4 linked regions of the Rattus norvegicus genome follow. Each later gene encodes a partner of the first gene's protein in a complex. Links are inferred from orthologs where the notes say so. Each region holds a gene or a part of one and is shown on either strand. Other genes may lie near its edges.

The links.
Region 2: Tbl1xr1 (region 1) and Hdac3 share a complex: the UniProt entries of both Homo sapiens proteins name them as parts of the N-Cor repressor complex. The link is inferred for Rattus norvegicus from reciprocal best matches to the Homo sapiens genes TBL1XR1 and HDAC3.
Region 3: Tbl1xr1 (region 1) and Coro2a share a complex: the UniProt entries of both Homo sapiens proteins name them as parts of the N-Cor repressor complex. The link is inferred for Rattus norvegicus from reciprocal best matches to the Homo sapiens genes TBL1XR1 and CORO2A.
Region 4: Tbl1xr1 (region 1) and Gps2 share a complex: the UniProt entries of both Homo sapiens proteins name them as parts of the N-Cor repressor complex. The link is inferred for Rattus norvegicus from reciprocal best matches to the Homo sapiens genes TBL1XR1 and GPS2.

The regions. Positions count from the first base shown.
Region 1 is NC_086020.1:106,727,175-106,734,949, forward strand, and holds the start of Tbl1xr1 (F-box-like/WD repeat-containing protein TBL1XR1), read left to right. Parts: upstream 1-3,490; 5' UTR 3,491-3,604; intron 3,605-7,775. UniProt on the Homo sapiens protein: F-box-like protein involved in the recruitment of the ubiquitin/19S proteasome complex to nuclear receptor-regulated transcription units. Plays an essential role in transcription activation mediated by nuclear receptors.
Region 2 is NC_086036.1:30,022,740-30,029,933, reverse strand, and holds part of Hdac3 (histone deacetylase 3), read left to right. Parts: intron 1-392; coding exon 393-473; intron 474-828; coding exon of another isoform or gene 829-854; coding exon 855-928; intron 929-1,085; coding exon 1,086-1,150; intron 1,151-3,057; coding exon 3,058-3,147; intron 3,148-3,244; coding exon 3,245-3,303; intron 3,304-3,552; coding exon 3,553-3,632; intron 3,633-3,927; coding exon 3,928-4,085; intron 4,086-7,194. UniProt on the Homo sapiens protein: Histone deacetylase that catalyzes the deacetylation of lysine residues on the N-terminal part of the core histones (H2A, H2B, H3 and H4), and some other non-histone substrates.
Region 3 is NC_086023.1:65,649,705-65,657,483, reverse strand, and holds the start of Coro2a (coronin-2A), read left to right. Parts: upstream 1-2,881; 5' UTR 2,882-3,035; intron 3,036-4,437; 5' UTR 4,438-4,554; coding exon 4,555-4,611; intron 4,612-6,182; coding exon 6,183-6,383; intron 6,384-7,779.
Region 4 is NC_086028.1:55,132,730-55,140,419, reverse strand, and holds Gps2 (G protein pathway suppressor 2), read right to left. Parts: upstream 4,215-7,690; 5' UTR 3,931-4,214; coding exon 3,837-3,930; intron 3,523-3,836; coding exon 3,413-3,522; intron 3,340-3,412; coding exon 3,227-3,339; intron 3,125-3,226; coding exon 3,045-3,124; intron 2,958-3,044; coding exon 2,875-2,957; intron 2,627-2,874; coding exon 2,473-2,626; intron 2,394-2,472; coding exon 2,304-2,393; intron 2,229-2,303; coding exon 2,149-2,228; intron 2,071-2,148; coding exon 1,975-2,070; intron 1,866-1,974; coding exon 1,782-1,865; downstream 1-1,781. Other genes in the region: Eif5a (eukaryotic translation initiation factor 5A-1), read left to right, coding at 320-424, 595-726, 817-879; Neurl4 (neuralized-like protein 4), read right to left, coding at 4,951-5,155, 6,037-6,202, 6,277-6,389, 6,542-6,686, 6,787-6,894, 6,998-7,085, 7,197-7,376. UniProt on the Homo sapiens protein: Key regulator of inflammation, lipid metabolism and mitochondrion homeostasis that acts by inhibiting the activity of the ubiquitin-conjugating enzyme UBE2N/Ubc13, thereby inhibiting 'Lys-63'-linked ubiquitination.

The sequences.
Region 1 (7,775 bases):
TGTGAGCCACCATGTGGTTGCTGGGAATTGAACTCAGGACCTCAGGAAGAGCAGTCAGTGTTCTTAACTGCTGAGCCACCTCTTCAGCCCAGTTAAGCATTTTTTAATGTTCTAGGCTGATTGTAGTTGTCTTTATTTCCAGGAATGGAGGCAGAGGGATGTGGATCTCTTAAGTTCAAAGTTAAAGCCAGTGAGACTTTGTCTTCAAAAAAAAAAAAAAAAAAAAAGGGTAGAAGAAAATTTGGATAATTAGAAGAGAGAAGAGCCAGGCATGGTAGGTCAGGACTATAATTTCCAAATTCAGGAGGCGCAGGCAGGGTGATGCCTGTTCAAGGCTAATCCTGGGTTGTACGGAAAACAGGCAAACCTTTAAGGAGACAGATCTGTTATTTTATCCCACCTTTCCTCTCAGATCTGAAAGAGCTAGATCCATTCATTTCTTGTAGCATGACAGCTGACAGCATTCATTGACAGAGTGTTATATGATGAAATGTGTTGGAATATTTTTGTTGTTGGGCCTTTTTTTGTTTTTGTTTTTGTTTTTGTTTTTGAGACAGGGTCTTAACTATATACAGCTCTGGTTAACCTGGAATTTGTTGTGTCGACCAGGCTGGTCTTGAACTCACAGAAATCCACCTGTCTCTGCCCCACAGGTGCTGAACGAAGGTCTGTGCCACCACAACACATGTTGGTATTTATTGTAGCTGGGTCTTTTTTAAAGTTGATAAAGAGGAATAGTTGTCCAGCAAGACCTCAGTATTTTTATTTCAAAGGCACTACTTTGTCAGAGGTTTGGTAATCAGGTGAAACCCGATTCTCGTCGGCTGGTAGTTGGTTTTAGTATTGTGGTAATCTTTGGTTTGGTAGGATTGTGTTACTGTGTGGATTCTGCCTGGATCTTATATAACATAGGGACTGTATTGACTCCATGGAAACATTAGATTTCTATTCTGCTTTTGGTTGCAGTTGCTATCACTTAGAGCTGTGTCACTTGTACTTACCCATTAGTAATGTAGACTGCTGACGCAGGGGCTGGCTTCCCAGTTATTGTGTTCCTCATTTTCAGCCCCAGCTGGAGTAACTTGAATACATGCTAAAGACTGTGGCACTGACAAGATGTATGTCAGCCTTCCTAAGGCCGTGCCCTCTCTCAGTGGTAACTGGAGACTGGACAGGGTCTGTTGGAATTGGCAGCAGACTTTACTCTAGCATGTTCCCAGCTCCAGGAAGTGCTGGCTTGATTCCTGTCCCTCCTATTTATCTGTGGATGGTTTTGTGAGATCACGTGATCCAGTTGGTTTGCACATCTGGTAGTGGAAGTAAAGGATAGCTTTGTTCACGGATTGGCTGTGAGGGCTGAAATGAGGATGCTTGTAAAGGAGTCAGTGTGGGGCTGGCAAGGAGGAGGTCTCTGTGCTGGCTGCTGCCTCATGCCCTAACATTAAAAGAGATGTTTTTAAAATATGATGTGTCTGTGCTGAGTGTGGGTTTGTGCATGTGAGTACAGTGTCCTCTGAGGCTGGGGAAGGGTGTCTTAGCTGTAGTCACACATGGTTGTGAGATGCCTGATGTGGGTGCTGAAGGCTAAACTCTGGTTCTCAGCAAACTGTCTCCACCCCCTGCTGGCCTTTGTATGGGAAGTAGCAGTATAGCCAAGAAGATTGGGCAGTGTAGAGTTTTTCTGTGTTTAAAATATGTAGGTATTTTTGGTGTTGATCCCCCCCCCCCCCCAGGTAGGTTTTCTGGTAGCCCAGTTTGGCAAATTGTTATGTAGTAGATACCTTGATATGCCTTGCCAAGTGCGAAGCTTATAGGAATCTGAAACCATGTTTGTCCCAGACACCCTGCTTTATGTTGTGTTTGCTAACACTGATGCTTCAAGAGGAAAGTTGCTAACGTAGTAGATAAGTTGCACATTTTCTCCACACCTGGGTCAGTCATTTCCCATGTATATGTAAATGCCATGAAAAACTATGATGTCATTGATTTTCATTCAACACTGGGCGAAAGAAACAATGCTGTTTGTTTTCGCAGAAGTAACTGAAATAAAGCACACGGGTTGTTGGTGCGGGGGAGCTGGGCTACAGTCATTTTCTGTACTTCTCCTGTTTGTTTGTCCCCCTCCCCCAGGTTTGGTTATATTTTCCCCCTGTATCTCCACCTCTTACCTTACTTCCCAACTTCATGTTTATTTGCTCGTGCTCCCCCCTCCCTCTTTCTCTCTCTCTCAAGTCACCTTTTTTTTTCTTACCCTAATTAGTCCAATTTCTGCTGCTCCTATACACATTGGTGTGGGGTCAGCCAGTGGAGCATTGCTGATCTACCCTTAGATAAAACTGGCTCTCCCTCTCCCAGAAGCCATCAACTGTCATTATCAGCTTTTAGGGGTGGGGGCTAATTAGCCCTTCTATACTGGAATATTGACTGGTTTTGATAATTATGCAAGTCTTACACAGGCAACCACAGCAGCGGAGAATTTGTGAGGGCATCAGTCCTTTCGTGTTTAGAGACACTGTTTAGTATAGTCCTGCTGAACCTCTGGTTCTCGCAGTCTTTCCCTACCCACTCATTCTTGATGCTCCCTGAACTTTGGGGACCCATAGATGGCTGAATACTCCACAGATCTGTATTCTGACCATTCGTGTATTAACTATCCTCCACTGCGCAAAGATGCTGTCTCCTAAGGTCTGAGTGCTGCACTAATGTGTGGGTACGGATATTTATCTAGAGCTAGTTTGATATTATATTCATTTAGCAATGTAATAGTATTTTCACCCCTGGTTTAGAAGCCATGGGTTCTTGGCCAACCTTAGAGTACCAGATAGAAGTTTCTTCCTGTGGAACTGGCCCTAGAACCAATTAAAGGAAAACAAGAAAAGAAAAAAGCCCCTGGCTACCCTTGTAACATAATGTGCCACTACTGTACCTCTAGGGACATCCTAACCCCGCTAGTTATTACTACAGCTCATGGGGTTCACAGTGAGACTGTTGAAGATGTTTCTTCTCCAGCAGCCTGGGTAACAACTGGCGGTACTATGACAGTGAGCAAGCAGGCAGAAGGCTTCCAGTCACCAGCTTCATTTCTCCATGGCCTATGACCATTCTTTTTAAACCTATAAATTGATTATAATATTTAATACTATTATTAATTCAGTGAAGTTGGGAACTGTGGATTTGAGATAATATAGAATATACTTTTCAATGTTTATGAGTTTAGAATCAGTATTCAGGATAGGAAGAAAGAAAGTTGACATTCTGAACTCAGACAAATCAATTATGATCATATTTATTGTTCCATGCCCATGACATTCTTCCGTAGCCCAGGCTAGTCCTGAGCTCATCTTCTTACCTCAGCTTCCTGAGTGTTGGCATCATAGGTGGGTCAGTGTGCCTGGCTTTTTCCTTAAGTCTTGTGTTGGGGTCCGTGAGCTGTCACTTTTTTCTAGACTAGATGTCTGCAGACACGTCCTTGATGCAGTTGTCTGTTTGTGACCAGGTAGGGCCTTCCTGAGGACACTTGTCTTACCAGTGTTTCACCAGGAGCTCCTGGTGAAGTACAAACTGCACTCTGTTCGTACTGAATTGGTGAGGCTTTCCAAATGATGTGTGCGGTTTCTGGTCCTTCCAGACCCTTGTCTCTTTGAAGGCCGTATAAGCCCAGAAAAGAGGGTGGCCTAGCAGTTCAACTCATTGTGTTCAAAGTATAAGATTATCCGAATCTGCTCGGGTGTCTGGTTTTGTAGGTTGGGCCACCTCTAGAATCTTTTTTGGGAGGTGAGGGGTTAGGATAAGCTGTTAAAACAAGAAATATTCCCACAACTGAGGTAAGGAAGACTTGGACCTGAGGTTAGTAGTTATAGCTGATTGAGTCATTGACTGGTCTGCCATGTTGGTTCCCTGTTCTTTGTAATCTGGTTCCCTGCTAAACCATTTCTCTTTGGTTCTGGTCTTTTTGTGAGCTCTTGGAGCACCATATACCTTAGGTGGCCCACCCTTTCACTGTGGTGTACACGTAGGGCTTTGAGGCTGTGCAGTGCACAAATTATTAATTCTGTTTCCTGCTAGCCCTTGAGTCACTTGCTGTGTCATGTAAGGAACTTTACTTTCTTCTCTGGTCTGTGTCGAATGTTGATTGATGGCAGAGTTCCTTCATTCATGATTATGAGTTGCAACAAAACAGATAGAAGAGAAAAGAGGATCAGAGTTGGGAGAAATAGAAGTAGCTCCCACAGTTGTGAGCTGGCCACATCCTTAGCTACTGATACAAACTTCCTAGATAATCCGAAACTTGGGCTCCTGGAGATGTGGGAGTAGAGGAATGTGTGGGGTGAGGAGCTAAGTGAGCTGTCAGGATCTGGCGTTTTCAAATCATACGTCAGAAGGGAACATCTTGATTATTTCTTCAGAACCAGATCTGCATTTGAGGAAACAGGGCTTCCAGTCTACGAATGAACTAAAGTGATTGCCACAATACTTCATTGATATTTTCAAAGAATTAGAAATTCACCAGTAAATTTTAAATTAGGAAGGATATTGCAATGAGAAGTCTGTGCTGACACTTTGCCCTGGTGGAAGTCAGGAGGGGTTAGTTCCTTTGGGCTCTTCCTTTTGTACCCTTTAGGTGGGTAATTGACCCCTTGTAGCTGTGCTCTGCTTGCTTGTGGATGTGCTTTTGCACTTGGCAGTTCTCAGTCTCTTTCCTTTTTGGGTCAGCTCTTGTGCAGAGCAGGCTGTGGTGCTTCATGACTCCTTTGTCTTTCTTGGGTTCCTTTGTCAGATGACGAGTGTACTGTTATCTTTAAGCAAACATTATGATGTTGGCCAGTGAGGTAAGTTTGCTTACCTCCAAGACTCATCGTAGTCTGAGTTGAGTCTGTAGGACTCACATGTTGAATGAGAGAAACAACTTCTCGAAGTTGTCCTCTGACCTGCCCTTGTGCATGGTGGGCAGCACTCCGTGCCCACATGCCCATATGACATCACACTTACGTGTACATGCTGTAACTTAATGGCTGTGGTGTGAAGCTGCCTGAGGGTTGAGTTGTCATGTGGTAGTAGGATGGACGCTGCTGAGTTCAGGAATAAAGGAAAGCTTAGACTCATTTACTTTACTCACTTCCTTTCCTTGCAAAATACTGCATATTTGTTATGGGTTTAAGTAGAGTGGAAATTTGAGGACAAGCTCAAAAGAATGGTTCAGGGTGTGGAAAACAGGGAAATTCTGTGGCGTTAAGGAGACAGCTGCTCTGGCTTCTGCACCCTCCCTCTCCTCGTTCTTATTTTGCCTGAGGAGGAACAGTAGAGCAACTCAGGAGGTTACTAAATTCTTCCTTTTCAGGGGTACACCCTCCCCCCTTTTCATTTTTGGGAGAGAGCCCCATACTATAGTCCTGCTGGCCTGGAAAATGATACGTAGACTAGTTTGGCCTTAAATTTGTAGTTAAGTCCCTGTCTTAGCATCGGCCTCCCTGGTGCTAGGGTGACTCTAAGGGATCCAGGCTTTTTGTCTTACTGCAATTCTGATATTCTGTTCAAGTCTTGTCCAGCAGTCAAACAGTGGTTTTATTTTTCTACCTGAAATTAAACATTTTTCTCCTGAGAAATTAGCCACTAAAATTTTTACTAGTGTTTTAATTTGGATTGTTAATTTTGGTAATGTTTGTTTTAAAGTTGTGTAAGGGTCCATGATTCGGCAAAGAATGATACCCTGAACTCTCAATAGTATGTAAATGCAGAGTGTTTTTTTTTTTTTTTTTTTTTCTACAGAAGTCCAGCATGCTGGGCTCTCCCATTACCAGAATAGAGCTTTTATGCCTGATTTAAAGCACATTAGGGCATTCCGGGTTTGGTGACCCTTATGTTAATCTGTTGGGTCCCATCTCTAAGGACATTCTCTTGGGGACTGTGGGGGCTGTAAACTTGCTGGGGGAAGTCTGGAAATGCTGCTGACCCATTGTCCTTGCCTCAGGCCAGGTGGTAGGGCAGCTTCTGAGGCCTGGGGTTGCCTGGAATTGCCCAGTTCTTGGATACAAATTTAGGCCTAGCCGCCTGAACTGCCAGTTTGAAGCCTGTCATGGAATCAGCCTAGTCTCCTTAGTTGTATGGGTTTTGAGTGCCCCATTTTTCTGTTTTAAATTCCTGTTGTCTTCAGCATTTGATTTTACGTAAATTGAAATTTTCCACCAGTCGGAGTTTGAGAATATGTAGCAGAAACACCTTCATGTGCTGCTGTGTGGCACTGTGGAGATGTTTGTTGACATTTGTTGCCTTCCTTTTCTATTTCCTCAAACTGGCCACAGTCTGTAATCTCAATAAGGCAGAGTCAGGAGGAGGATTGCAACCAGGAGCTAACCTGGTCTACTTAGTTAGTCCCGGATAGCCAGGACTACATGGTGAGATTTGGTCCCCAAAATTGAACCAACAAACAAAAAGGCTGAGTATGGTGGTCCGGTGGTCTGCACCTGTAATGCTAACACTTTGAAGGTGGAAGCAGGAGGATCAGAACTTCAAGGCTAGCTTTGGCTACAGAGCAAGCCTGGGCTATGTAAGACTATGGCACACAAAAGAACACTAAGACCACCATCACCACCACTACCACCAAAAATGTAATGAGAATAAAACACAGTGAATAAAAGCAAAGTGGGGACAGTTATTCTTTAGTATGCGAGGACTGACCTTTCCTGACTGCACATCTCAAACTTCACAGTGATTCCCCTCTGCACTGCTGAACAACCCTGGCAGCTCCGTACCCAGGGATGCTTTTGCTCCTGCCATAGCTGCTTTGTTCTTTGTATCAGGCTCTGCCCTGAGATAGGCATGCACACTGAAGTAGTGCTCGTCCCATGTGACGCTTAGGTTTCTTGTTACTATTACCATTTTACCATTTTTATGAAAAACATGGTGTGAGTGTTTTCTTCTACTGACACCTCCTCCTCCTATCTGCGTATTTAACCTGGATGAGAGCAGGCATGGGTTCTGATTCTCTTGTCACTCTCCCAGTATCTGGAATAGACTTGCAGGTGTTTAGTATTTTTAAGCCCATTAACTCTTTTTGACCCACTGATAACTTAGAGTGGATTTACTTTTATTATGGATATGTATCTTTAAGAAGCCGGGATTTACGGTGTGCTAGAGGAGATGAGATTACTTTGGTGTTTACATAATGTTTGTAGCTAGTTCTTAGCAGCTATATCAATCTGAAAAAAATAGTTGAAGAACTGATACTAAAATAGTTGTGCTAAGATACTAGATTTCAACAAGTTACGCTTCGTTTCTTTCAATCCAGATATGTCATCATTCAGTAATAGGAGGTGAGCTAAACCTCCCAGTTACATTGATGGAGGTTACTTCTAGCTACATTTACCTGGGAGGTGGTGGTGTTTAACTCTGATCTACTTCTAAAGTTGGCACTGAGTCATAATGCAGGCAAGTTGTGCTATGAAAGCCCAAAGCAAGTTCTCAAAAGGGTTGATTCAGGAAGGGACCTCATTGACGTAGGGAATACAGCAATCTTACTGAATTGCTCCCTTTGGGAAGTGCAGCACGCTCGCTTGACTGACTGTACAGCCAGAACCAGACCTGAGTACCAGGAATGTCTTGACACAATAGTCTAGCTAGTTTTGCTGCGTCATAATAGCCTTTCCTTTATTGACTTTGAAGTGTAATGACAGTATCTGAATTTAAGGACTACTTTACTTTACCTGAGAATTCCCTGAAGGACTCTGAGCAGTGTAGCTTGAGAGGGATCCCATAGTGTATTAGAATTTGTTGCTCCC
Region 2 (7,194 bases), on another chromosome or scaffold:
AGCTCTTTGCTAGCACTATGTCCTTTCTGCAGAGAAACCTTCCTGACTACTTCCTTTATTCATTCTTTGTCTGTTGCTATAGATCTGGCTGGCCTCTGCCTCTTGAGTGCTGGGATTAAAGGCATGTGCCACCATGCCCTGCTACATCAAAAATTTTGAACCAGGCAGAGAGGCACATACCTATAATACCAATAATCAGTTGGCTGAGGCAGGGGGATTAAGAGGTCAAAGCTAGTCTGGGTAGCATAACAAGTTCCTGGCCAGTCAGAGTTACATAGCAGTGACCCTGTATTGAGTGAATGCTAGTTGCTGGAGCCTTGGTGGAGAGCAGAGAAGGAACAGCTGTGTTGTGAGAACTTCCAGTGCATGGTTACTGCGCTCTCTTTCTATAGGTGATATGTATGAAGTTGGAGCAGAGAGTGGCCGCTACTATTGTCTCAATGTGCCCTTACGGGATGGCATTGATGACCAGAGTAAGTTCTGATGACTTCTCCCTGCTCACTCTTCTCCCCTTTTTTCTCTTTCAATTAACAATTAACCTCTTCTGCCTGGTGTTGTCCATTGTTGGGTCAGGTGTCCTTAAGGATGAGTGGCCTTCAGAGGGACCATGAACCCTTGGAATTTGTATGCAATATATTATGTGTGTACGTTTTGTTAATTTATTCTTTTGGGAGGAAGGTTGCTAGTGTTTAACTCAGCAGTTGCGACACCCTCCAAAAGTTCAGAACCAGTGGTTGGTTCTGTGGGTTGCCCCTTTCCCGGGCTACATGCTCTCTCAACCCCCCTTTTCCTTTTGTTCCCTGTCTCCCCATCCCCTTGGGGTGCCAGGTTGCCCACCTTTGGCCCTCTCCCAGGTTACAAGCACCTTTTCCAGCCGGTCATCAGCCAGGTGGTGGACTTCTATCAGCCGACGTGCATCGTGCTGCAGGTAACAACCTTAGCGCCTCCCTAAGAGGGCGGGCCTGGGCTGCAGGGAAGAGATCAGGACGAATAAGCTCCAAAAATTGGTGAGGAAGGACATTGGAGGACACTGATGTTCTGATCATCCATGTTATTGTAGCCATTTGTGTTTTTTCTTTTTGTAGTGTGGCGCTGACTCCCTGGGCTGTGATCGATTAGGCTGCTTCAATCTCAGCATTCGAGGACATGGGTGCGTTGGCTTTCTTGTTGTTGTTATTTAAAGTTGTATTTTATTTTTTGTTATCATTATTATTAATTATTGTATGTATATGTGTATATATTAAATCATACATAAATACACATACATACAATGAAAAATCTAATGAAAAAAATAAGACAGGGTAACAGCAGGGAATCTACTTTTTTTTTTTTTTTTCTTTTTTTTCGGAGCTGAGGACCAAACCCAGGGCCTTGCGCTTGCTAGGCAAGAGCTCTACCACTGAGCTAAATCCCCAACCCCGGGAATCTACTTTTTAATTATACAGTTTTTTTAAGGTCTCACCGTGTGGCACAGGCTGGCTTCGAACTTGTGACCCTCCTACTTGAAGCTCCCAGATTCTGGGACTATAAACTCGGGTCACACCATACCTGGTTTGGGAATGTACTGTAGATGACATGTTTTGGGAAAGGTTTTCTGAAAAGATGAAATGGGAGACCTGGAGACTAAGGAGTGAACCATAAAAGGAGAACAGAGAATCCTGCCTCAAGCAGTGTGAAGAGCCAATGTAAAGCCCTAAGACTGAAAGGAGTCTTGGCAATAAAACCAGTGAGGCCAGAACAGTCAGGTGCTGTAAGCTGGCCAGGCTGAGAGTGTGCAGAGCGTCAGACTCTGGCACTCATGGGTGATAGAAAACCAGTGAAGGACCTTACCCAGGGAAGTGACAGGGTCCAGTGAGTTTGAAAGCTGCTGTTCTGACTGCTAAATGAAGAAAGGTTTGGTGTGGGAATTGGGTCAGGGCAGGTAGTGGGCAGCTAGCTAGGAAGCATTAACGTTATTTGGGCAGGCACGTGTTGATAGAGAGAAGTATGAGAGTTTGAAGGTGTACCCTGAAGCTTAGACATTCTGGCTGTGACCCTGATGAGAGTAGTGGGTAGCAGGTAAGGTGCACAGGGAGTATTAAGCAAGACAGAGTGGGGGTGTGCTTTATTTTAAAATTTTTATTGAGACACAAAATAGTAAAGTATGCTAGTATTTTTAAAAGGTAATATTTGTGTGTGTGTGTGTGTGTGTGTGTGTGTGTGTGTGTGTGTGTGTCCCCAGTAGCAGAATAGGGTATTGGAATTTACCTATCGGAGTGAGCTTCCCGGTGTAGGTGCTGGGAACTGAAACTCTGGCCTCTAGGAAAGCAGTAAACACTAATGTTGAGATGGCGCTTTAGCCCTAACGCAGTGGTTCTCAACCTGTGGGTCTGAACCAGGGGAAAACACATAGGACCCTCCAGCTATAACTTTATTTTTGTTGCTTGCCATTTTATAACTGTCATCTTGCTATTGAGTGGTGTCTCCTAAGACCACTGGGACTCTGTGCTTTCCCATGGTTTTGGCCCACATGTTGAGCAATACTACCCAAGGAGTTCTAATCCTGAGCGCACAGCTCAGAGGCAGGAGGATATCAGATGGGGACAGGGTGAATAGCACCCTCAGTAAAAGCGCTTGCTATACAACCATGAAGACTCAAGTTTGATCCCAGAGCTCATGTGAAAACACTAGGCCTGGCGGTACCCATTTATGATCCATAATCCCAGCCCTGGTGAAGTAGAGACCAGAAGATTCATAGGGTTTGGTAGCCAGCCAGCTTAGCCTACTTGGAAAGTTCCAGGTTAAAAAAAAAAAAATGGATAGTGCCTTTAGGCCAACACTTGAAGATGTCTTCTAGCATGTGAATACACATGCACACATCCTCAGACACACGTGCACTGGCACACATATGAAGACTCACACATTTGTACAAGTAGTCACACCCAAAGAATGCAACTTTGAGTTATACTACACAACAGGACAGAGAAATATTGTTGGTCAAGTCTTCCTCCAGTATTTCAAGGCATATCGGTGGTCACGTGTCTTGGATTCACCTAGTCCTCTTGTTGCTTCTAACAGGGAATGTGTTGAATATGTCAAGAGTTTCAATATCCCTCTCCTGGTGCTGGGAGGTGGTGGTTACACCGTTCGAAATGTTGCCCGGTGCTGGTGAGTATTCTACTCTGCTCCTCTGTAGTTCATGATAAACTCCCTGAAATTGGAGGGGTGGTCCTTTCAGCCCTACCCCTCTGCTTGCTGGTTTCAGGACATATGAAACATCTCTGCTGGTAGAAGAGGCCATTAGTGAGGAACTTCCCTATAGTGGTAAGGTCCACTTCATGATGCCCCCCACAGGGGGCCCATTCTCACCAGTCCTCAGAATGACCTTGTTTGAAGGGAAATTGCACATTCTGGGAGCTCTGCAGACTAAACCCCTGTGCTCAGAGCAGAGCAAATACTCTTACACATGGGGACCAGGACTCAGAGAGGTGATCGGAAAGCCATGGGATTCAGTCTTTTGTATCTCAGCCATACTCTCGTTCATCCCTCTCCCAATTGCTTCTCATCTCTAAGAATACTTCGAGTACTTTGCCCCAGATTTCACGCTCCATCCAGATGTCAGCACCCGCATCGAGAATCAGAACTCACGCCAGGTTAGCATCTTGGGGAAGCTGGACACAGCAATGCTGGGCGGGCTCAGGAGAGGTCTCGGAGGTGGGAAATGGAGAGAGCAAGGGAAGGAAGTTCTGGGCTGTCACTGTCACTCTTATCATGTGGTAGCCCTGGATAAAGGACAAACAGTTGGGTTGCTGGGAAGGGACAGTCACTAACTGAGGATCTGACCTTGAAATACTACTTTAAACCAGGATGGTCATGGTAGAAGGCGGATAGAATTTCATGTACTATGGCAATCACCCTGGCACTGTTGACTCTTTTCTTCTAAACTAGTATCTAGACCAGATCCGCCAGACCATCTTTGAAAACTTGAAGATGCTGAACCATGCACCCAGTGTCCAGATTCATGATGTTCCAGCAGATCTCCTGACCTATGACAGGACTGACGAGGCCGATGCTGAAGAGAGAGGTCCTGAGGAGAACTACAGCAGGTCTGGGGCCAGAGAGCGGGTGGTTCCTCAGGCTTGCAGAAAAGGCATGAGTTCGCCTGGCCCTGGCTGATTTCCTTTAGGCTGCAAGCTTTTTTCTCTTTTGACCCTTTTAGATACATCAAAATGTGTTGTATTTACATAGTTTCAGGACTACTCCATGGCAGTAACTGTTATTTATGGTTTGATTCATGTGGTTTTGGATAGGTAATTTCTATAGATTATAAGAACACTATATGCACGTGTGCACATTCAGAATTTTATTTCTACAGTTACTTATTTTTCTTGATTTGTTGCTGTTGTTTTTGGGTTTTGAGATAGGGTTTCCTCTGTGTGGACCAAGCTGGCCTATAAATCAGATATCCTCCTGCCTCTGCCTCATGAGTGCCGGGATTAAAGACATGCACCACCATGCCTTGCTCTTTCTTGGTATTTTTGAGATTGGGTTTCACTATCATAGCCCAAGCTGGCCTTGAGCTCATAATAATCCTCCTGCCTCGGGTTTCTAAATGCTACCCAGTTTGTTTATAAAGTTCTTGTTACTATGAGTAAGGATATTTTCTATATGTTGCTCTGAGTTGTGTTTGCCTGTTTTTTTCTTTGAAAGGGTGTGTGCCATGTCGGTATAGAGATCATTGTTTCTCAGTTGTATAATTCCATTGTGTGGTGACCACATGATCACAAGGGCAGTCAGTTACCACTTGTGGATATTTACGTTACTCTCCATCCCACTCCCCCACCCCCCCCTTTTTGTGGCTATTAAAACAATAAGGACTGCGGCACTGAATATATATATATACATATATATATATATAAAATATATATATTCACATATATATGTGTGTGTGTGTGTGCACGCACGCGTGTGTGTATATATATACATATACATGTATATGTATATATATTCATAACTGTTGCTGTAGGGAAAATGGCATATGCAGTAAAACTTTTCTAATGTTGCCAAATTACCTTCCAGAAAGAATTTAGTGGTTTATTTACATCTTTTTAAGAAAAATCTTTTATTTACTTTTAGATTGATTTATTTTATGTGTATGGTGTTTAACTTGCATGTATTTAAGTACACCATTGTGTACCTGGTGCCTGCTAAGGTCAGAAGAGGGTGTCAGATCTCCTGGAACTGGAGGATGGTTGTAAGCTGCTCTGTGGGTGCTGGAAAGAACCTGGGTCCTTTTCTATGGCCACAAGTGTTCCTAACTGCTGAGCTGTCTCTCTCGCTCCCTATTTACGTTTGCCAGCATTTTACTCCATTCTGAGCAGTGAACAGTAGACCACTGCCCACATTCTCTTTTATAGGGTTTCTACATTTGTTTAGTTCATTTTTCTAGATTTATGAGTTGTATTGAGTGAGGTGTGTGTGTGCATGTATATGTATAAATAATCTTTATCTTCATAGATCTATGTTGAAATATTTATAGTTAGAATGAAATAAGGCAAGATTAGTATAGATCTTTTTGTTGTTTGTTAATCCTCAAAGAAATTTCTAGAAAATGATGAGAAAGGACAACAGACAACCGAACCCAGAACGATGGAAGAGATGGGGTTAGTAGGGACCAGATGCATTTGCAGGACTGAGACCATCTGAGTTGCTGTGCTTCTGTCATGGGCTTGAAGCTGGCTGTGCTGCAGCTGTGGTGACATCTCAGTTCCTCCTGAGTCTGTTCTGGGTCACAGAATTTTGGCCTCCATTTCTGTCCTCTGGACTTGGTCTTGACCCTTGGGACTTTCTAGTCCTCCTCTTCCCTGGATGCCTCCCCATTCCCTGGCTTGGGTGAGGAAGTATCTAAACATCTGGTTCAGGCTCTGTCTAGTCATCCATTCCTTAGCATCTGTCTACAGCTCTCTAAAGCCTGAGTTCTAGAAGCTGATCACCATTGTCTAGGTTGGTTCGGCGACATCTGTTTTTAAGTTCTCCTTTTGTCTGGGTTTGGCTTTTTCATCTATAGTTACTTTGGCTCTACTTTCTGCATAACCCTAAGAGATGGGTCTTATCCTCAGAGGACTAGAGGAGGGACCCATGGCTCAGAGAGATCAAGTAACTTTTCTAGAGCTCCGTAGTTACCCTGAGTGACTGACTCCTCACTTTTCACTCTGGGCTCTTAGAGGTGATAGAGATGGCCTTCCTGCCTGCCTTAGTTCCTTGCTTCTCTTCAGTGACTTCCTAATTGTCTGTTTTAGAGAAGTTTTTCAAAGAGAAGGAAACCAGTATCGAGTACTTTCTGAGCCCTGTGTTGCTATCACTTCCCCCCTCATGGTAGTTTTAATGGAATGTCAGTCTTCCACTTGTGCATCCCTTCATGTCAGTCCTACCCTCGTACTGCTCCTCTGTCAGTCTTACTGCCTTCCTTTCTGTGTTGGTTTGCATGTGCTTGGCCCAGGGAGTGGCACTATTAGAAGGTGTAGCCTTGTTAGAGGAGGTGTGTCACTGTGGGCATGGGCTTTAAGACCCTCATCCAAGCTTCCTGGAAGCCAGTATTCTGCAAGCAGCCATCAGATGAAGATGTAGAACTCTCAGCTCCTCCTGCACCATGCCTGCCGGGATGCTGCAATGTTCCTGACTTGATGATAATGGATTGAACTTCTGAACCTGTAAGCCAGCCCCAGTTAAATGCTGTCCTTATAAGAGTTGTCTTGGTCATGGTGTCTGTTCACAGCAGTAAACCCTGAGACACTTTCTTTGCATCAGTCTCAGCTCACACCTTTCCTTCTCCTCGTAATTAGAAGTAGCCATTTGAACATGCCCTGCACACAGATCCTTACCTTTTGAAACATTGGTCTGCTCACATGAACTGCAGAATTACTGGCATCCTTGTTGTTAGGAATGGCTCAGTTTCCTTGGCACTCGTGACTTCTGTACTTGGTTTTCTTGTGGCTTGGTAGGATCTTTGTCTGACCAGCCTCTTCATAGACTTCAGGCCTTTCATTCTCAGAATGGTCTCCTATTTTGTAGGCCCAGTGTTATCTTCTTGTTCACACCAGACTCAGGCTACTCATGTAGAACACTCCACCATTTGAAATTATTGTATTCTTTCGTTTGTTTTGTTATTGCTAGTCTCATGAGATAAGCTTTGAGAGGTTGTATGGAAATCTAGTC
Region 3 (7,779 bases), on another chromosome or scaffold:
TTTCCTGAGCTAAGCCAGGTGACTGGCCTATAGCCCAAATGCTGCGGTCTCAACTAAGGTTTGTTAGATGAGCGCTGGGTGTGCGTCAGTTTTCCCTTCGAGGTGATTTATGTGTGAATCTCAGGCCAGCCCTACGAAAGTGTTGGATCTGTTTCTGAGTGGCTCAGCCTCTCATTCCAGCCCAGTCCCTAACTAGCTGCGTGATGCCAGGCGGGAGAGCCTTACCCTCTCGGTGTCTTGATTTCCTCATCTGTAAAGTGAGGAGATCTCATTACCATGGCTGCTGTAGGGCCGTGTGTATACCTGGAACACCCCCAACACGTGACACAAGGGTAAGCGGTTCTTATCGCAGGGTGTTGTCAGCTCTGATGTTACCAATGGGGGAAGGAGACGTGTGTGTAAGCTGCTAGGAGGTGGGAGAACAGTGCCATTAGATAGCACGGTGGTGACATCCTGTGATCACTCCATTCAGAGACAGGTGTGGCCACTGAGCACTGGAAGGTGTGGCTGCTGTGTCTGCCCAGTTGAGTTTGGGTTTTATTTAATGTGGTGAGTTTTCACGCTAGTGTAGAAGTTGTACGGTTTGAGATCCAATGGTCCTCAACCTTCCTGGTGCTGCGACTTCATGCTGCAGTGAACCCCTAACCATTAATTACTCTTGTCGCTATTTCATAGCTGTAATTTTGCTGTTATGAACTGTAACGTACCTATCTGTTTTGATAGTCTTAGGTGACCCCTGTGGAAAGGCGTTTGGGCTCCCCAAATGGGTCACGACTCACGGGTTGAGAATACTTTTCTAAAGGCTTCTGTTGGGCAGAGCCCTTAGAGTCTGGATGAAAATCTTGCAGTCTGCCACCCACCTCCTACTGGGTTACTTGATTATAATTTGTGGGGATGCTGGGGGTTGAGCCTGGAGCCTTTATTTCTTTTATTATTATTATTATTATTATTATTATTATTATTATTATTATTTTATTTTTGAGACAGAGTCTCAAATACCCCAGGCTGGCCTCCAACTATGGATTTAGCCAAGGTTGCCCTTGAACTCCCAATCCTCCTGCCTTTACCTGCTGAACACTGGGAATATTGTTGTAGCACACACCAGGTTTTATGTGGTGCCGAGGATGGGACCCGGAGCTTTGCACGTGCTAAGCAAGCCACTTCTCCAGTCCCCTGTCCTGTTTCAGAGTCAGCCCCCGGTGCTGTGTTATTTAAGTGGTGACTCTTTTGCATACGTCTCTGAGATCAGGCTGACAGCCACGGTGTTGCCATCGCCCCTGAAGACAGCTAGTGACATCACTTAATACTGTCAATCCAGTTGTTCAGCTGCTTCAGACTGGGTTTCTGTGGCAGGATGCTGTGGATCAGGATTTTGGTTTGCCACTCCATGTGGCACGCCACCCGTGGAGCCTCTTCCAGTCTGGACCGGTTCCGTTGGCCTTATCACCTGTTGAAAAAACAGGGCAGTTTTTTTCACATTTTTGTTTTGCTCTATTGGGGGTCTCACTCTGTAGCCCAGGCTAGCCTCGACTCACAGCAATCCCCCTGCTTTAGCCTCCTGAGTGCTGGAATTACAGGTGTTTGCCACCAAGCCAGGTGGACTCTGTCCTCTTTGTCATTGGGTTTGAGGGATTCTGTTTGTTCTGTCAATCCCTTTCCAAGTCCTCGTCCTAGATCTCTCTCCATCGTCCCTGTTGCCCTTACCCGACCGATAGTGTCCTGATACATGAGTGTTTTACATGTCCTTTAAGCCCCCTGAGTCCAGTTTGACTTTTCTCTTGTTGACTGCTTTTGGTCACCACCAAATCTAGTACCTTGAGTTTGGTCTTTTGTTTTTCAAAGCATTTTATAGTTTCGGTCCTTCAGTGTAGCTCTTTGAGTCATTTTGAGTTGCTTGAAATTTCAACCCACAGGATTTCCTGTGTTCTGGAGATTGCCAACTGCCTCCTGGTGAACACTTTCACCCGGCTTGGTGTGACAGTGTACAGAGAAGCCCTGTCTTGCTTGGCACTGGGTTCGGGTTTTGTCAAGGTCTCTTTGTAAGGAACGGGACACAAAATGGTTGCTTTTTTAGCTCTTGTGCTGCTAAGATTGACCCGTGTTTTCAGGGCTCCATTATATCTTTAAGCCTCAGACTTGATTACAGAGCATGAGCCCGTGGGGAAGACTAATTAAGATACAACAGGTTCTGCCCTGCATTCTGGGGTGCCAGATTCTGTCTGGGTAGGGTGGGGCAGGGCCCAAGAACATAGGGTTTTGGCAAGCTCTCTGGTGATGTCACTCTTTGGAGACTACCATGAGCTGCTGTGTCCCCAGTCCCTGTAAGTCTCTCTTATCTTTATACTAAATACACACAGGAATCTCCTGGGGACCTGAGGGTGCGCTGGATTTGTTTCCTTGTTTTGTTTTGTTTACTTTTTCGGAGGGAAGGCAATTCTGTGGCTCAGGCAGGTCTTGAACTTGTGTACCTGTCACCTCAGCCTTTCAAGTGCTAGAATTAGAGAGGCTTGAACCGTTATGTCCAGCCAGTGGTAGAATTCAGTCGATCCCAGTGTTCTGAGTCTCCAGCCATGCCGACCCTATTATCAGCCCTCGGGTTCACCATTCCACGTCTCCTCTCAGACTTGGCACTTCCAGAAAATGGACGACCTCAGAGAACAGTAACATGAGAGTAGTGACCCAGACATTCATTCCTTGCCCTCCAGCCCTGGGTACTAAGTAAGCCCTGAGCCAGCCCTTGGGTAGGGACTGGTGATTGAATGAAATCATAGTCACCTCTTTACAGACCTTCTGGAACTTTGTGCTTTAGAATGTTCTAGTCTCTGGTTTAGGATGCTGGACTCGCTCGTTTCCATAGCTTTCTCTTTCACAGACGAGTCGTCAAAATCAGAACTCTCAGGGCCTTACCCATAGCCTGTGGTAGAGCGACGAACTTGTCCCTGTGTGTCTGGAATGTCCTCAGGTTTGGGGTTTTAGGTTTGCTTTCATTTTTCTTGCAGTCCTAGACATTACACCTAGGGACTTGCGCATGATAGGTAAGTATCCTGCCACTAAGCTGTCCTCCCAAACCCTTCTTGTCATTCTGTTTGTTTCCTGAGAGGGGACTCTTACTGTGTAGTCCAGGCTAGCCTCAAATTGTGGCAGTCGTACCTGAGCCTCCCCAGTGTTGGAATCCAGATGTCAGGCTACCACACCCAACCTTTTTCTCGTGTTTTTATTTTGAGGCAGATGCTTACTACATTTTTCAGGCTGGTCTTGAACCTGAAATCCTTCTACCTTGGTTCCATAGCTATAGCACAAGAACTCCTCCTTGTCCATGGTCCCTGGCAGACTGGTAGAGGAGAAACCAGGCCTCTTGTTCCTTTGAGATAGGGGGGCAGAAACTGATGTCCTAATTGCCTGAGTCCCTGTGACACTTGAGCTCATTGCTGGCCTAGAGAAGACAGAATTTGAAATGTCTTGTGCCAAGAAGTTGTGGTTTCAGTTAGGGCTTGGCCTCAGATTGAGAGACTCTGTATTGAGAAAACGACGTTTACCAGGAGCCAGGACCTGTGGTTTCTTCCTTCTTCCTTGTAAGAAGGAAAGACACCATGAGAAAGAACTTGGGGGAGGGGGGCTGAGGAAGGGGGAAGCAGAGGAATTAGTACATAGCCTTGACCTGGGGGGAGGGGTCGACTTCTAAGGCTTTCTGATTGGCTCCACAGGCTAGCTGTCCCACCCCATCCGGTATGGATTGGGCCTTCACTAGGGATTCTGGGTGTATTAAAAAAGAGACTTGGCAAGATGGCTTAGCAGGTAAAATAGCTTCCCTTGCAAGCTTGGTGGCCTGGGTTCAATGCCTGGAACCCTTGTGAAAAGCCAGATGCCGCAGCTCGCACACCCATGATGCCAAGACTTCTACAGTGAGATGGGAAGCAGAGGCAGGAGAGTCAGCTGGAAGCTTGAGAGCCACTGTGGCCTGCAGATGGCCACTATGGCATCATGGTAGATTAACACCTACCTCAACAAGCTGGAAAGAGAGAATCAATTACCAAAAGTTGTCCTCTGATCCCACTGGGGAGATTTCTCATCAGGGTTGGAGCATACATGGTCAGGGCCATGATGCACTCTGTGTGGGTAAGAGCAAAGGATTTTTGGCTCCATGTGGGGTGCACCTCTAATCAGGTTTTATTGCACTAATTCTTGGTCTTTGAAGATCACATTCAAATAAAGTGGTGTGATTTGGTTTGGTTCGGTTCGGTTCGGTTTGGTTTGGTTCTGTGTGACAGGTTCTTGCTGAGTAGCCCAGGCTAGTCTTTGAATTTGCTGTGTACCTCAGGCTGGCCTTTGAATTCACTGTGTAGCTGGAGCTGACTTTAAACTCTTGGCCCTCACGCTAGGATTATGAGCAGCTGTCCCACACCTATCTTGCCCTTCTAATCTCCCTCTATCAACCAGGCTATGTTAGAAGGTGGTGCTTCAGACCCTCCCACAAAGCACTTACAGGGAGCGGCCTCTGTGCCCACAAGGTCAGATTTTAAGAGGAAGAAACAAAAGAAAAACTTGAGCTAGCAGATGTGGAATGGCAACAGCAAACTCCGGCCCAGCCCACCTCTGCTCAAACCAAATCAGGTAATGTCCTACTCACCGTGAAGCCACCCTCAGTGGCACCAGGGAACACGCCCCTCCCAACTTGGGTTCCACATCAGCTACTTGCTGGGCTGGGTGAAGAAGAGGGCCATGGAGAGCAGGCAGGAAAATCTGTTGCTTACCCCACAACAGTACCCTTACACACACACACACACACACACACACACACGCACGCACGCACGCACGCACGCACGCACGTGCACATGCACACTCGCCCCACAGGAAGAAGGTAGCTAAGCTTTGAATTCTCAATTTGCTGCTCATGTCAGTACCATTTCTATCACGTAGCTTCCCCTGCACCTCCATTTCCCATCCTCAGATATGGTTAGTACGCCCCCACCTCAGGAGGGTTGTAGGGGATGAGACAGTCTCCAGCCAGTCCACAGCCAGACTTAAGAGAAATGACTCCCAGGAGTTTAAGCCTAGAGCCAACTAAAGCCTTCTCAGGGTGGCGGTTCCCAGCCCCCAGCCTAATGCCATGGCATAAAGCCACAGGACTACAGACAGATGGACGGACGAAGTGGGAAGGCTGCTGTGGAGGGGTGTAGGCCCTGCCTGCAGGGCAGACAAAAGCTTGCTGGCAGGGGAAGTGAAACCATTGCTCCGAGTTGCTGAGTCACCAAAGCCTTGTGCAAACGGGTCCCTGAGCAGAAGGCACCAGACACACCTGGGGCAACGCCAGCACCCCAGAGCTCTGTGATGGATGAATGCCAGGCTCATGGCACACATGGTCACACCATACAGACACTCTCATGCCCTGACCTTACTAGATGCCATCCTCCCTCACTTCTGTGACCTCTCCCCCATTTCAAAGGTCTGGACAAACCTTGGCAATAGAAATAAAGCCTGGGGTGGGGCAGATGGGTATTGACGGTCTCGGTCACATTGCTCTGGACTGGGTGGTTTCATTCGTGGGGGCCAACAGCTCCCTTTCCAGAGGGGAGACACAAGTCTATGAGGCAGACTTGTGTTGTCCCATTTTACAGACAAGAACACAGAGACTCCGAGGGTTAAGTCATCAGAGTTAAGTCACAGTGAGACAAAGTTAGAACTGGAGGCCAGACTGGCTAGCCTTAGAGAACAACACTGGTTCTCACTTGGTTGGCAGGAGAGCTTGGTTGGGCAGGAAAGTTGGGGTGGGGGCTGTAGCAAATATTCTGTGGTCCCTCTGTTTTGGGGGTTCATATTTGAAAAAACAGAAAGGCTCTAATGGATCAGGAAATGAATGAATAGTAATGACCAATAGTCTCTATAACCACTGTGATAGCCTCTCTCCCCTCAGGGTGGACCTTTGTAGAATTGGCCACTAACACCAGGCTTGGTTGCACAGCTTCTAATCCTAGCACTCAAGAGGTTAAGGCAAAACAATCATGAGTTCAAGGCCATCCTAGGCTATACAGTGAGTTCCAGGCTAGCCTGGTCTAAGATCTTGCCTCAAAAAGAATCAGCAGTGAAACCAGACCACTGCCCAGGCTGTGCCTGTTAAGTACTCTCTACTGTGCTCCATGATGAGGTGGTGGGCCTTATACTATCGGTCCCTTCATCCCCTGCAGATGTCATGGCACCCCCAGTACCGCAGCTCCAAGTTCCGACACGTCTACGGCAAGCCTGCCAGCAAGGAGAATTGCTACGACTCTGTGCCCATCACACGCAGCGTCCACGACAACCACTTCTGTGCTGTGAACCCCCACTTCATCGCTGTGGTCACTGAATGTGCCGGTGGGGGCGCCTTCCTTGTCATCCCCTTGCACCAGGTAAGGACCCAGCCTCTAGAGGTCTACAGGACAGATGGACAAGGTGGGAAGCCCAGGTCCCCAGTGCAGATATGACTGAAGATCTAGACTGGCCTGCTTTCCTAGTTGTGTGAGCTTGCATCAGCCAGTTCTTAGACCCTTGGTCTCCTTCTTGGGCTCTCAGCAGCTGGCCCACTTAGAGGACCGTCTCTTATCCACGCAAGAATAGTGCTCGCTCCAATTTTTTCTCTCTTGAATGAAATATGCTTGTTAGAACAATTAGCTGGGCTCAACTGAAATTGGGGAGACTGCGGAAGCCACCTCCCCTTGTCAGGAGGTGAGAGTGGGAGGCTCGAAAGCAGTAGGCAGAAAGGAGAATGCTTATCCCTAGAGCCAGCAGTGAGAGCATGCTTGCCCCAGGAACTATCGCCATTGCCCAGTGTTTGGATCCATGGAGTGACATCTTCATATAGATCTACCCTAAAGGGGATCTTTGTGGGATCCAAGAGCTGAGCTTGCCTTCAGCAGAACTCATGAAGAGGCCTGGGAGAGAGGTGATCCCAGGCTGTGTTTCTACTCATGTCACGAGAGGTGTTCGGGGAGCCTGGCCACAGGAAAGGAGCCCACAGACTTAGATAAGGACCCTGGGAAGTCACAAAGACTGGCGATCCAGAGTCTGAGGAAAGGCAAGAAGCAGCCCTGGAGCACTGACGGACCTGTGTGGTCAAAGCCTGGAGGGAGATGAGCTCAGAGACAGCTCCCTCATCACAGTACCTCAGGTATAGAAGCCAGTAACAGCAGACCAGCTAACTGAGGCCCCGTGTGCCCACTGGTGTGGACCGTTTGCTTGCTTGTTTGCTTGTGACAGCATCTCCTGTAGTCCAGCTCTGGAACTTCCCATGTAGCCAAGCTGGCCTTGACCTCATCCTCCTAAGTTCACCTCCTCACCGTGAGTTACGGTTGTGTGCCACACTTCTAAATAATTTGTGAGTCAAAGGGGGACCCAAAATGAAGGTTTGCTTATTTTGTTATTGTTGTTTGTTTATTTGTGGTGTATATGTTCCTCCGTGTGGGAGTTAAGGGAGGCACTTGCATGCCACAATGCAAATGTAGAAATCCAAGGGCGACTTCCAGGAGTCAGTTCCCACCCCGGGCCTCATGAGGCGAGGCAGGGTCTTCATTATTGTTTCTAGCACTGTGCAGCTTACTCCAGGCCAGCCAGTCATCCAACGCCTGGTGATTCTCTGTCTCCTTCTCTGATTTCCTAGGATGCAGGTGCTGGGTCATAGCTGAGCATTGCCACATCCAGCAGTTTGTTTGTTTAGGTGGGGTTGCTTGTTTGTTTGGTTTTGTTTATCTAGTTTTTGTAGACAGGGTCTCATGAAGTTACAGCCAAGGTAGCCGTGGCTTGACTGGT
Region 4 (7,690 bases), on another chromosome or scaffold:
CCAGTGCCCTGTGCATGCTGGACCAGCATTGGTATCAACTGAGCAATATTCTCAGTCCTTACCAGTTGACTTTTGGTAATTTCCATGTAAATTGAGTTCCCTAAGACTGACCTTTCCTTCAGTTGTTAACCCTCAGGTATTGGTCTCCAGGGTCAGGACTTTTAAGGCTTTAGTTATGCCGTTTTCACTTGGTTCATTTCTAATCCTTAATAGTCTTTACCGTAACGTGGCATTCTAGATTCTCAGGCAGTGACCCAAACATTTGTCTCATGCTTCAAAGATTGATTGCTGGGTATCTCTTTATGATGTATGTACACAGGTCCATCTGGTTGGTATTGATATTTTTACTGGGAAGAAATATGAAGATATCTGCCCGTCGACTCATAACATGGATGTCCCCAACATCAAAAGGAATGATTTCCAGGTGTGTTTTTAGGATGAAGATGGTTAGTGGCTTATGAAGGGTAGGGTGTGTTGGCCTGCACCTTGTGGGAAAGGATGTGTAGGGAAGGAAGCTGCTGTCACTGTAGTAGGTCCATCCAACCTCTAAACTTAACCTACCTTTTCCTTCCTTTTTTTTTTTCGTTCTCGCAGCTGATTGGCATCCAGGATGGGTACCTATCCCTGCTCCAGGACAGTGGGGAGGTACGAGAGGACCTTCGTCTGCCTGAGGGAGACCTTGGCAAGGAGATTGAGCAGAAGTATGACTGTGGAGAAGAGATCCTGGTATGGTGCCCCTTCCTTGCCTTTCTTTGGTTCTTAAGCATAAAGTCCCCGAGTTAAGGGCATCTCTGGACTGTCCTTTTGCTTTTCCAGATCACAGTGCTGTCCGCCATGACAGAGGAGGCAGCTGTTGCAATCAAGGCCATGGCAAAATAACTGGCTTCCAGGTGAGTGAACAGCCTTTTACTGTCCTCACACTCACGCCCTCACAACTTTGTTGAAGTTACAGTCCTATTTTAAACATGATTTTTTTTCTCTTGCCCAGGGTGGCGGTGGTGGCAGCAGTGATCCATGAGCCTACAGAGGCCCCTCCCCCAGCTCTGGCTGGGCCCTTGGCTGGACTCCTATCCAATTTATTTGACGTTTTATTTTGGTTTTCCTCACCCCTTCAAACTGTCGGGGAGACCCTGCCCTTCACCTAGCTCCCTTGGCCAGGCATGAGGGAGCCATGGCCTTGGTGAAGCTACCTGCCTCTTCTCTCGCAGCCCTGATGGGGGAAAGGGAGTGGGTACTGCCTGTGGTTTAGGTTCCCCTCTCCCTTTTTCTTTTTAATTCAATTTGGAATCAGAAAGCTGTGGATTCTGGCAAATGGTCTTGTGTCCTTTATCCCACTCAAACCCATCTGGTCCCCTGTTCTCCATAGTCCTTCACCCCCAAGCACCACTGTACAGACTGGGGACCAGCCCCCTTCCCTGCCTGTGTCTCTTCCCAAACCCCTCTATAGGGGTGACAAGAAGAGGGGGGGGAGGGGACACGATCCCTCCTCAGGCATCTGGGAAGGCCTTGCCCCCATGGGCTTTACCCTTTCCTGTGGGCTTTCTCCCTGACACATTTGTTAAAAATCAAACCTGAATAAAACTACAAGTTTAATATGAAGCCCCCAACTCAGTTGTTTTTGTTGACTGAAAGATGCTTTATAAGAGACAGCCTTTTGTGGTTTAGGAAGCAAATAAACAGTACTCTGGCATGATGGTAGGTAGATTTTGTACATTTTATTCGTTTGGGACACATAAGAACCCACCCTGAGGGATGGAGGGTGGGTTGGAGTTATCTGGTGGTTACTTGTGATAGAATCGTGGGTTCTGGCTGTGTTGGATGAAAGGGAGTCGAGGGCCCGGTTGGCTGGTGGTGGCAAAGCCTGACTGGGTAATAAGAGTTTTGTCAGTGGGTGGGTATTTCTCTGACTCAACACTCAGTACAGACAGTACTTGAGTTTACAGTCTCACATGTAGGATTGATCACCAGCCTTACCTTCCCGGCTGCTTGTATCTGTACAGGGAGCTGAGGGGAAGCCAGGAGTCCAGGGGCTGGATGCAGAGCTTGGGGATGCATGGGCCGCAGAGAAGACTGTGGGAAGAAGCTGACCTTAGGCATACTGGGCCCCCCTCATCTTAGCGTCTTGACCTCCCAAGGCTTCATACTCACTGAGTCAGAGAAGCTAGTCTGCTGGTTGGCATGCTCCATCTGTTTTTGCAAAGAGAGGGCACTACCGGGCTGGAGGAACCCTGAGGGGAGAAGAGTTAGAAGTGAGCAGATGGCAGTTGCAATGAGGCTAGGGCTCCTGCCCAGGGGGTTATCACCTGTCTGAGTGGGCTGAAAGTGGCCATGCACTGCATAGGGTTGTGGCTGTGGCTGAGATAGGTACTGCACCGCAGGAAATGCTGACGGAGCTAAGAAAGGTAGGAGATACCCATTATTAGATTTTTGTGTTCTAGCTGTTCCTCTGGTCTGAGGAGAACCAACACTCACCTCTCAGCTGCTGGCTAGGACTATAGGCTGGTTGTGTTGGCCCATAATGAGGTGGGGGCTGGGCAGTCCCATAAGCGCCCCCTGGACTGCCTTGGAATTGTCCATGTTCTGGGGTTCCTGCAAAAGCAGCTGCTGATCCCACGTAGTGCCGGGTCTAAGGGGAAATGAGGAACTCACACAATAAGTACATGCCTTTCTGCTCAGCTCCTGTGTACTGCTTGGTTTAATGATTGGGATGTCAGAAGAATGGGAGAAAGTAAGATGGGCTTAGTGACAGATGAACAGTGATTCCAATACACAGGAGGAGACATGGAGGTAGGGTCAGATTTCAAGACAATTCTTGACTAGTGACTTAAAAGCCAGCCTGAAGAGAAGGGGTTAAAAATTCTAAGACTCCCTCACCGTAAGCACTTGTGGTCCAAACATCTGCTTGGCTCTGTCAGCTGCCATCAGAGTACCTGGGCGGTTGTGTCCTCCAGGACTCCCTAGAAAGGGAGAGGTTTCAAGATGCCAAAATAAGGCTGCGACCTCCAGGAGAGCCCCCTCTGTTAGGCAGTTTATTTAGTCCTCACCCTGCATGCTGAGGAGGTGAGTTCCTGTATGAACCGTCAGGCTCTGCTGGTATGCAGCTGATGTCAGAGTGGTTAAGTCACTGGAGTGAAAGGAAGACAGGTCAGTTAAGTGTCCCTCCTGCTATTAGACTCTTGTCACCTGTGTGCTATTGCACAATTTTATTTTAGCCATCTCTTCACACCTCTGTTCCTTTCGCCTCCGTTTTTCTTCCTCATGCAAAACTTTCTTGAGCTGCAAGAAAAGCTGGTGTTTCTCTTCCTGTAGAGCTGAAAGCTTCTGCTGCAGTTTCAGAATCTAGAAGAGGGATAAGCAGATAAAGTAGGGAAAAGAAAGAAGCTAGAAATAGAAGTGATGAGAGGCGACTTACTTGTTCCTTGGTCTCTTCTAGTGACATTCTCTCTTCCATTTCCTTTTTCTTTCTTCTCTCCTGTTCTTCTTTCATCTTCTGTTCCATCATCTTGTCCACCTCTTCCTCCTCTGAAGAATCAGAACGGGGAAGTGGCAAGGCGGTGTAAATATAAGCTGAGCGTTAGACTGAAGACCAGCAAAAACCAGTTATTCCATCACAGCCACAGGGAGAACTTGGCTTCATTAGGTGCTCTCCAAGGTCCTTCCCAGCCCAGGGTTCTGGAACTTAGACTGGGCCTCTTCACTCACACCCCGAAGGCGCGCTGCCTCCCTCTTAGCCTCGCCAGCAGGCGCACAGCTGGGCCCGTGGATGGGGGCAAGTTCGTAGATAGCAGAGCCACCCTGGGCCGAGTGTCTGTCCTCCCGCTCTGGCCCAGGCTCACCCTGCCGTTTGCGCTCCCGCTCCATCATGATGTGCCGGTGCAGAGCCCTGGCCATGGCGTTGGAAAGCTTGGGGCGCTCCAGAAGTGCGGGCATGATGCTGTTGGTGACGCTTGGGCAGTGGGCACCCGACTCTGTCACTGATTGCCAGACCTCAGGCGGGGCCTGCAGGGAAGTGGGAGCTCAGAGGTACTGCGACCCGCCAAGGCGGAAGCCCGTCGGCCGCCCGCTCGCCACTTCGATCACGTGTCCCGGGCACCAGCGTCCCTCCCGGGTCTCAGCCTCAGCGCCGGCGCGCGTGCGGGGGTCTTAGACTCCGCGCCCCCGCCCCTCCCTCGTAGCCCTGGCGCCAACCCCCCTACCCGCCTTCTCGGCGCTTTCTCCGTGGCCTCCGGCGCGCCTTGGTCTCTACGTCATATCCGACGGTCGGACAAATCCTTCCGGAGTCACGACGGGAAACGACTCAGCGGATTGGACGAAAGGAAAGGCGGAAGTGCTTAGAGACGGGTGCCGGGATGTCCAAATTCCATGTGGGTTTACAGAGAGGCCTGGGAAGATAAAGCCCCTGGAACTCTCCACCTCGCAAGGCCGCAGGAGACAAAGGCAGAAGCAGATGCTCTGAAGACAGTATTTATTGGCTCCTTAGAAATCAGAGTCAGTAACAACTGTACAGAGGGCCCACAGCTTCCTCGGGCCGCCCCTTCCTTACCCACTCCCGCCTCATGGCGCCCGGTGGCCATGGAAAAAGCAGCTTCATGTGGGCACAGAGACTCCTTTGGGATTCACAGTAACCAGAAACAAAAACGGAAATAAATTAAGTGATATGGGGGAGGGTAATAATAGGGAGTCATGTTCCCCAAGTCAGTGCATGAAGGGGGGACCCAGAGACTGGAGCTGGGCTCCCTACAAGCTCCCTCTCGGCAGAGGGAGTGTGCTGGGCCCTGAATGTAGAGATGTGCTTCACACCTGGTCTAAATCAAAGCCTGTCTACGTGCTCCTCCGGCCAGGAAAGCACCTGTACATGCCATAAGTCACTGGAATGAGGTGGAGGCAGTCGTCATTCAAGAGTCCTGGGCTTGAGGCCCGGCTGTGCTTGGAGTAGTGGTATCTCACCCCTTATTCCACCCGTACCAGCAGGGCATAGAGGAGTGTGGCTCCCTTCTCCTTAGTGACCCACTCAAGTTCTGATGGGCTGAAGTGCTGGTCAGGAAGTTCTCTGAGGGCCGCAGAGGGAGGGCCAGGAGTATAGGAGCCAGGGCGCACACACACCTGAAAGGCCACCTGAGCCTGGTGTGTCCGCTGGGATTTTGGGTCCCGGAATCTGTTAGACAAGCAGAAACAAGAGGAGGCTTCTAAGGGCCGATGACTACTAATTCTGCTCCCTCCACCCAGGCCTTGCTGTTTTCTGGGAAATACTCTCACTGTGAATGGCTTAACAACAACTATTTTGTGTGTAGTACTCTCCTCCCAAGTCCTCAGTTAACCCCTCCATAGCCCTCTTCATGCATTTATTTACCCTGACACTCTATTTCAGGCCTGTCCCAAACACTCCAAGTGCACTTCTTGTCTACTTCACCACTTTTGTGAGACAGTACAGGGTCTCTATACTCCCTGGAATCAATCTCCCTATATAAGGAGAGGATGACCTTAAACTTCTGATCCACTGGCCCTGCCTCCTAGTGTTAGGACTCTAGAAATTTGTTACAATATCCAAGAACAGTTTATGCAGTGCATGGGGTAAAACCCAGCAACTGGTGTAGGACACTCTGAAAGACTTGGTATCCATAGACATTCAGGAAAGAAGGCATACAGCACACTCATCTAATCCCACACTCAGCACAGACGTGGAAACAGGAGTCAAGTGTTCAAAGCCAGCTTCGATACAAACCAAACATGAGTTTGAGGCCAGCTTGGATTACTTGACATCCTGTTTTAAGAAAAAAACAAAGGGAGCTAGAGAGATGGCTCAGTGGTTAAGAGCACTGACTGTTCTTCAAGAGGGCCTGAGTTCAATTCCCAGCACCACATGTGGCTCACAGCCAACTGTAATGGAATCTGATTCCCAGGTACCTGCCTTTAATCCCAGCACTAGAATCTCTGGGTTCCAAGGCTAACTTGACAGGTAACAAGCTAGGGTGGGAAAAGGGTGTGGTGAGAATCCTAAGTACCCTGAGCCCGTAGAGCTCTCCCACATGTACTCACTGCACTTTGGAGGCCAGGGTCTCTGCCCCAGCGTACTGAAGGGAGGGGGAGAGCAGCACTGCAGGGGGCTGCTCCTCCCGGGGAGGTGCACAGTTCTCACCAGGCTCCTCAAAGCCCACCCCAGGCTCTCCCTTCAAGGGTCGGCAGCTCAGGATGGAGGTAGTTCCTGTGAAGAGACCTGGGTGAGGGCAGCCCCGTGATTCCTCCTAGGATCCCTAAACCCAGCCCACTCCATGATACCTGCTCCCAATTCCCCTCGGTCCAGCACTCTCCGTACAACTGCTACGCTGCTTCCATGATAGGCCATGTGCCACTTCTTAGTAAGTGTGCCAGCTTCCAGATGGGGATTCACCCTAAAAGGACAGGTAAGACAGATAAGTCAAAGGTCACTGGCTCCTCAAGATCATCCCACAAAGTGGGTGCCATCCTCTTTTCCCTCTTGGGACTCTTCCTTTCTCAAGGAAAATAGCACAGAAGAAAATACATGTCTGTGGCCCATATGTACCTAAGATTGAACCTGCACCATCCAAAAGGCAGGGCATATTCTCGGGGAGGCTCTCCTCGGCGCCTGTGGGCCTCATCTCCTCGCAACTTCCGGCAAGACTCACAGTAGCATAAGCTACGCTTTGGTGGAGGCATGAAATAATCTTCTGTGGGACAATGATTGACAAGCTTGGTGCTCTGGTCCTGGGTCTCAACCAGGGTCCAGAGCCATGAGAACAAGGCAGGCTCTGGAGGATTAGGACTCACCAGGAAGCAACAGCAGTTCTTGGAAGCGGGAGCAAAGGGCATGGTACTCGCAGCTCTTTAAAGGGCTAGCAGCAGGCGGTGGACCCCAGCACACACTCTCCTTGATACCTAGAAGAGTAGGGAAGGAAGTCATAGGAACTGGGCTGGAAGTACTGGATAGGGTATGGGTGAACAGACAAGGGCAGGATACCATCCCTTTGGGCTAGCGCACCGTCTACCATATCAGCTTTTTCCATGTCCCCTTGGGTTCCAGCAGTCTTCCCACTGGCAGTCCCTGGGTCAGGGCTCACAATTGTCACCTGCAGAGCAAAGTAGTCAGCTGCTGATTGACAGGTCCCTGGATCCCTTTGTGTACCAGAAGCTTTCTAGGCTCCCAGGACTCCCTTTTCCTCTTCTCTGTTGCCACTAACCTGCTCACACTGTCCATAGAGGTCCACAAGTGCATGGCATGGCTGGGGCACATCTGGTACAGCTACCCCTTGGTCCACCCCGTTGATGTGGAGATGGAGCCCTCCAGAGGAGTCTAGCCTCAGTCCCAGGATGGTGCCTTCAGGGCAGGTGTCAAGATTTGGCCCAAACTTCTCACAGATCTGAGAGGAAAGACCTACTGTCCTCAGACATCAGTCCCTTGTCACCACCACACCAGCAGCCATCTTGCCCTTTTACTCTTTCTAGCTGCCAGTCCCTAAGCTTTGCCTATATCTTTGCCTACTGCCTAGGCTCTACTCCCAATTCATTTACCTAGAGTCCCCCTTTTTACTTCCAACTTTAACATTCTCAATGGCAGGAGTACAGGAGGAAACACAGGCCAAAGGTTGTCCAGGTAATGACATGCATGTCTCCCTTTTTAGCCAGCTCCTCTCCATTCAGAGGCTTGGGTCACTTCATTCTTCCTGGCTCCCTC